Caenorhabditis elegans: one gene and its partner. The protein of the gene in region 2 interacts with the protein of the main gene of each other region in a pairwise test. Each region holds a gene or a part of one and is shown on either strand. Other genes may lie near its edges.

Evidence for each region. The genes of interacting proteins can lie anywhere in the genome.
Region 1: the proteins of ctl-3 (region 2) and klp-6 interact in a two-hybrid assay, tested with the Caenorhabditis elegans proteins (one large-scale study listed by BioGRID).

Annotation. Positions count from the first base shown.
Region 1 is NC_003281.10:5,028,838-5,032,593, forward strand, and holds the start of klp-6 (Kinesin-like protein), read left to right. Parts: upstream 1-2,091; 5' UTR 2,092-2,111; coding exon 2,112-2,351; intron 2,352-2,402; coding exon 2,403-2,535; intron 2,536-2,572; exon of another isoform or gene 2,573-2,980; intron 2,981-3,200; coding exon 3,201-3,609; intron 3,610-3,756. Other genes in the region: pcf-11 (Polyadenylation and cleavage factor homolog 11), read left to right, coding at 1-358, 408-506.
Region 2 is NC_003280.10:14,309,033-14,312,788, forward strand, and holds the start of ctl-3 (Catalase), read right to left. Parts: upstream 1,748-3,756; 5' UTR 1,712-1,747; coding exon 1,681-1,711; intron 1,457-1,680; coding exon 1,389-1,456; intron 1,329-1,388; coding exon 684-1,328; intron 630-683; coding exon 357-629; intron 1-356.

The DNA of each region.
Region 1 (3,756 bases), on a different chromosome or scaffold from region 2:
AGCCGACGCTTGCAAGTTTTGTGGAATGAGATTAGATGATTCTCAAGGAAAGTCAAAAGAATGGCAAGATCATATGGATTGGCATGTGAAGCAAAATTTGGCACGCCACGGGTCGAACAATTCGGCAGCTGTACCATATCGTCAGTGGTATCCATCGACATCCACTTGGCTTACACCACGTGCATCTGATGAAACGAATGAGCAAGAAGCTGATAAACCCGAGGAACCACTTCCAGGAGTAGCATCTTCCGGTGTTAAAACCAAAGAATGTTCAGTTTGTGGTGAGAAGTTTGACGAGTATTATGATGATGACGAGGAAACGTGGCGATTAAGGGACACAGTTAATGTTCACGGAAAGGTGAAAATTTGTTATTCAAAACTCGTGAATTTATCAAGATTCATTACAGATTGTGCATTCTGCGTGTGCTTCCGACGCAGCTCGATCACTCGACAACTCATCATTCTTCAACGACAGTGACATCAAAAAAGAGGAGCCGTTCGACTGAACATAATTGTTTTTTTATTGAGCCTTTTTGATGGGCATTGTCTAGTCATTGAAAATATTAACAGAAATTATAAAATTCACCAAAAAATTCATTAAAGCATTTTTCCATATGCTTTAAAATTTTCAAGCATACCAAAGTTTTCCTGTTTTCTTGTTTCGTTATGGGTTTTTTAGTTTTCATTTAGCTTACACCCCCCCCCCCCCCCCCCCCCCCCCAACGTCCCAGACAATTTCAACAAATCTTGGTTGTGATTCCGTTTCAAAACCTCACCTATACATTTTCTATAAATAAAGCAAATTATTTTTAAAAATACCTTTTATATATATTTTTCCTTTTCCACCCTCCAATTTATCACATTGAAAATAAAAATCATAAAACCCCCGTTTTTCAGAGTCGACGACTTCAATAATTTTTATTTGCTTTTTTAAAATTATTTTTTCGTTTTGTTTTTTTGGTCGAATAAATCTATTAAAATGGGAAATATAATTGTTTTTGTTCACATAACGAGAATTTCAGAGATGTAGGTTCTGGTCAATTCCGTAAATCACTGACACTCCAAAGTTATGAAATGCCGCAAAGACTACTGTAGGCAGTATCAATTGAATCAATTGTTAGAAACCTGTTTCGAGAAGTTTTGGAATATTCGTATTTCAACATTTTATTGGCTCTAAATTGTTCAAAAATCTCAAATTTTGGAAAGTTTGGTAAGTTGCCAAAATGACTAGATACTTTTAAATATCTAACACGTTTTGGAGTTTGCTACGATATTCGGGTTTTTTGGATAATTATATTCATAAGTAAAAAATCGGATAAATGCTGTCAAAGTTGAAATAAACTATCCGAGGCTTTATCAAAAAATCAATTGTTTTCAGAAATTCTGTGCATTTATTCAACTTTTTGTTCTCTGATTCCAATCTTCAATCTTCATTAAATACAACTTCATACAAATTTTTCTTCTTCACATCAAACACCGTTTGGTCCGTTTCCTTTCGTCGCTTGGAGACCTACATGGCAACATTGACTCCACGTGTATGTAGAAGAAGGGTCCCATTCTCCACGCTTTACTACACTCTATACTGAATTTTCCATTTATTTTCTTGTCCTTTTCATTTTAAAAACATTTTTCCGTTCGGATTTGTTTACAAATTTTGTTCTCTCTGATAGAAGTATTCAATTATTATACTTTTAATCTGTAAATTAAAAAAAAAAACTAAATCCTTTTCTCATATCACGGGAACAATAAATCATGAGAATGCGTACTTGGTGCATTTTATTTGACGCGCGATATCTCTTATCGAAAACTACAGTAAGAGCTTAAATATCTATTGTTATTTGAGTTCTTACTGTAGTTTTCGCTAAGAGATATCGCGCGTCAAATAAAATGCACCAAGTACACATTCTCATGATTTATTGTTCCCGTAATACCAACCAATTATTGCGACGCAATACCTTCATATACATTTTTTAATTTTAAAAATTTTTTTTAAAATATAGTTGAGATCCTTGTTGTAGTACGGTAGTAGTACGAAGATATTCCAATGTTTCTTTAAAAAAATTTTCCAACCAAATTTAGTTCTAAATTTATTAGTTGAACTTTTCAGAATAATGGGAAAGGGTGACTCCATAATCGTAGCAGTTCGGGTTCGACCTTTCAATGATCGAGAAAAGACAAGAAATTGCAAATTGGTAATTGAAATGCCAGATGAGGAAACAACAGTTATTCGAGATCCTAAAACAAACGATGAAAAACGATTTACATATGATCATTCATATTGGTCACATGATGGTTTCTCTGAAAAGAAAAATGGATATTTGGAACCTACGGATCCTCATTATGCGGATCAGGTATATATTATTAAGACTCCTTCTTCCGATTTGAAAATAATATAATTTCAGAGACGAGTTTTCGAAGATCTTGGCAGAGGTGTTCTTGCAAATGCATGGGCTGGATACAACTGTTCATTATTTGCTTATGGACAAACTGGAAGTGGAAAAAGTTATTCAATTGTAGGCTTCAAAAACAATAAAGGTAAACTGTAAATTCTATTTTAACTAAAAATTCCAAAAATGATAAGTGGTCTGAAGGTATCGAGAAGGCTGTGTATGTGTGTCAACTTACAAGCGCGGTCCGGCCACTGCACCACGCGGTCGCTTTTGTCTGCTACCTTTCGGTCCTGAACCATCCACGACTCCTTATGCACCCGGGACTAACCGCCTTCCGACAGTTATCCCCTGGTGACGTAGCGCTTGGCACGGACGCTCGGTCGACGTAGACGACGACATACACAGGACTCCTCCTCTCACTCCATCCACACTTATCTACCGTCAAGAAGCTGACTCACAAGCGCCCGCCACGACGCTCGGTGGTTTTTCGCAACCAACTGGGAAATATAAGCGAGAGGCAAATGGAGAGAGTGAACAAGAGAAGAGAACACAGAGTGGCCGTCCTAGACCCTGCAGAGGCCATCACGCCTAATATTTGCCAATTTGCGCGCGTGAGTGGTGTTGCAGGGATTTTAAAACATAGGCTGCCTGCCTTAGACTTACTAAAACAGTATAAATGTGCATATTTCATTTCTATAATGTCTCGTAGGACCTATAAAACGTCGGGCGCAAGAGAACACGACTCATTATCTTCTAGAATTCTACTGGGCACCGATAACATTGGGATTTAAATTTTAAAATTTTTTGCAGGAATCGTGCCAATAGTTTGTGAGGAACTATTCAAGCAAATTGCGGATAATAAAAAGAAAAATATGCAATTCGAAGTTTTCGTTTCAATGATGGAAATCTACTGTGAAAAAGTTCGAGATCTTCTAAGTTCAACTCCACCGCCAAAAGGTGGTCTGAAAGTGAGAGAGCACCCAAAAAATGGGTTCTACGTGGAAAATCTAACAACAGTCCCGGTGAACAGTTTCAAAGAAATTGAAGCAAAAATTGAAGAAGGAACGAAAAGTAGGACTATTGCGGCAACACAAATGAATGCAACAAGTAGTAGAGCTCACACAATTGTGAAAATAACATTTAATCAGAAATCTAGTAAGCAAGCTGGAGGTACATCGATGAAGAAAAGTGAGATTAATTTGGTGGATTTAGCTGGAAGGTTCGTTTTTTCTTTCCGGCAGGCTTTGATGCCTGCCTCAAGCCTACCTACTTTTCATACCAAAACACTTGAAAAAGCTACAAATTTTTTGAAAATAACATGTTAAGTACAGTTTTTGCAAATTGCTATATTTTGTGGTCTTTTTGA
Region 2 (3,756 bases):
TTTTTTGAAGATTTTTTGACGACCGACAAAAAAAATTTTTTTGGACGGATTTTTTCCAAACTTTTTGTTTTCTTACATTGTGTACTAAACTAAGCAAAATCCGCACACAAACCTCAATTGAAACCTGAAAAGAAGCGAGATCTGAAAAATGCCTGAAAAAATTGGCTCCGAGTTAGGGCACTTCGGACGGCCAAAAAATTTTGTGACTATTGTCAAATGAAAGATCATAGTTGATAACGTAAATTCCTACAGTTTCATAAAAATCGATACACAGCGAACAAAGTTATGATTTTTGACCCGGAACTTATTTGGAGACCTAATATTAAAAAAAACTAATTCATCTTCACACCACTTGCCTCAGCGAAATAATTCTTCACATTCCTGTTCAGCACCATCTTGCCGACCTCGATCAGTGGGTAATCACCGTGTGGCCAAACTTTAGTGACATCAAATGGATTGAACTCCCATTTCTCAGCTTGTTCGAATGTCATCACTTGAATGAACATCTTCCATTCCGGGAAATTTCTTGACTCAATGGCATTGAACAGGTCGCGGATCGCATAGTCTGGATCCGAAGAGGCGAGCTTTCCAGCGTCAGTTGGATCGAGATTCTTGGAACCTTGAGCAGGCTGAAAAATAGAAAATGAAAATTTAATTCTAGTCCCCGTCTCTCTTAGGCTTACCTTGAAATGGAATTTACAATAAATCGGATTTCCCTCCTTGTTGACCATCTTGAAAGTATGCGCTCCGTATCCATTCATAAAACGGAATCCATCAGGAATTCCACGATCCGAGTAGAGGAACATCACCTGATGAATGGATTCAGGGCGATTCATCCAGAAATCGAAGAGCGCATTCGGATCCCTCATGTGAGTCTGTGGATTGCGCTTCAGGGCATGAATGAAATTCGGAAAGTGGATTGCGTCACGAATGAAGAAGATCGGAGTGTTATTTCCAACCAGATCCCAGTTACCCTCCTCGGTATAGAATTTGAGAGAGAATCCACGTGGATCGCGGACAGTATCAGCGGATCCCGATTCTCCAGCGACCGTTGAAAAACGAACGAGAAGTGGTGTCTGTTTTCCGACCTTGTTGAACATATCGGCCTTACAGTACTTGGTGATGTCATGGGTGACCTCGAAGTATCCATGAGCACCACCACCTTTGGCATGGACGACACGCTCCGGGATGCGTTCACGATCGAAATGAGCCATCTCGTCCATATAAACGATGTCCTGCATTAGCATTGGACCACGTCGTCCGGCGGTGAGCACGGCGGTCTTCGAGTAGATCGGAGCTCCATTGGATGTGGTGAGCAGGTGGGGTTCCTGGAAAAATCAGTTTTTATATAAATTGCGAAGAAAATCGCTGAAATTGATTTTTCTCACCTGATTTCTATCTCTATAAGCTTTCAGCTGATCCTCAGCCATTGGTCCGGGTTTTGTGTCGTTGACCGCTAAAAATATATAGTCACGTGGTGCCAGACTGTCCCATTACGGTTTGATCTACAAAAAATGCGGGAATTTTTGCCCAAAACAATTTGACGTCCGCACGTTCTTAACCATGCGAAAGCAGTTGAGAACTCTGCGGCTCAATTCCCGCATTTTTTGTAGATCTACGTAGATCAAACCGAAATGAGACAATCTGACATCACGTGTATTTTGTAACAAAGAAACTCACTTAGATTGACCATGTGGGGAAGCATTGGCATTTTGAAGATTTACTGTTGAATTTCCGAGAATCGGCACTGAAAAGGAAAACAAATAAATAATATAATCGTTTGCGAAAACCGGAGAGATTGCTCGGAGTCAAGAATCAACAAAATCGAGAGATTAATGGCGAAAATTCGTGGAAATTATCGTTTAAAATTGGTAAATAATTTTTTTTTACGCAAGAAACAATAGAAATCCACGCTGAAAACGTTTTTGTTTTCCGGGAAAAAAAATTAATCGATTTTAATTACAAAAAAACAACATTGTTTTCACTTATGTGCAAACACCGATGTACTTTTTTGCGTACCGTAGTTTCGAGTTTGTTTTTCAAAAGTAATTTTTCATCCGAACGGCATTTTTGCGTAGAAAATTACACTTTTGAAAGAGTTTTTTATGGTTAAAATGTGAAATTTGATTTAAAAAAATATTACGGGGACACAAAACATATTTGACGCGCAAAATATCTCATAGCGAAAACTACAGTAATCCTTTAAATGATTACTGTACCGCTTGTGTCGATTTACGGGCTCGATTTTTGAAAATAGCACGAAGGAAAATGAAATATCGATGTAACTTTTCGAAAAAAAATTAATTCGAAAACTTGAGCCCGTAAATCGACACCAGCGCTACAGAATTACTGTAGCTTTCGCTACGAGATATTTTGCGCGTCAAATAGGTTGTGCAAAACGCATTCTCAAAATTTTGTGCTCCCGTAATACTCGAAATTACCCAAAATTTATAGATTTTCAATTTTACAGAGCGAGAAAAGCACGAAACAATGGCGATTATTTAACAAAAATATTAAAATTCACTAATTTTTTAAGATGGAAATTTCGACTTTTTTCAATTTTTTTTCGATAAACGTAAAAAAAACTAGCTACGAACCAAAAAAAACCTTCTCAGCGAGCAGTTCTTAGCTTATAAACAAACTCTTAGAGACCATAGATCACCATAAAAACAACATGCAAACAGCTGAGAGAGAGAGAGTGGAAAAAAAAAGAAAAGTGAACAACAAAAACACATTTGCGGGGATGGTGTCTGGCCGCCTCTTTTATACATTTTCAATGTCAACGGGGGACGCCAGGAATTGTCAGCAAAAAAAAATATATTTATACTCTAGTACTTAATGTCATCATTATTGTTCTAGTTTTCTCACAAAGGACAGCCAATTTATATAAATTTTCCATCAGGCAAATGGTGGCAAGAACAGCTGTGTTTTGGTGGAAGAAAAATGGGTTTTGCAGGTTGAAAGGGTGAAAAATAAAAAATCTGAAAAAAAACGTTTGTGTTTTGCAAAAAATAATAATAATTTTTAAAAAAATTGATTTATGTGCACATACACCAATAGGCTTAGTCTTAGGCTTAGGCTTAGGCGTAGGCCTAGACTCAGCCTTAGGTTTAGTCTTAGATTGGGGGGGGGGGGGGAACAAAAATTCCAGAAACTTCAAGAATTCAGAAAAAAGGACGATGAAAATGCACTAAAAGTTGCACAATTCCAAAAAAAGCACAAAAAATCTCATTTTCAGAAAATTCACTAAAATTAATGCAATTTGTTATTTTTCTTGTATTTTGGCATTTGCATTTTCAAAAATAAATCCCCATTGACCGTACTCCAGATTCAAAGGAGCACACTTCTGCTGAGTGGTCTCGGCACGCGTACCGAAACTTTTGTGTGTGCGCCTTTAAAATTACTGTATATATTTTTTCTTCATTTTCTTTGCTGATTTCGTAATGTTTTTTTCGAGTTTTTGATTGTTTTTTCTCATTTTTTTTTGTTTTTCTTTATTATTAGTTAAAATATAAAAACTATTTTAAGCTAATCAACGCAAATCGAGGCGAAAACCGATCGCAGAAAGAGGAAAAGTCGAAAAGTGAGTTTTTTTGCAAAAATATTTCAGCCGCCGCCGTCAGCTGGATTCCATAGAAGTGTGACGAAGGAATTAAGGTTTGCTTATCGAAAAAATGTTGATTTTTCCTAAATTAATTTTTTACAGAGCTCGTCGATCCGGACAATTCCGCAGAAATCAGGAAATCAACAGACGGA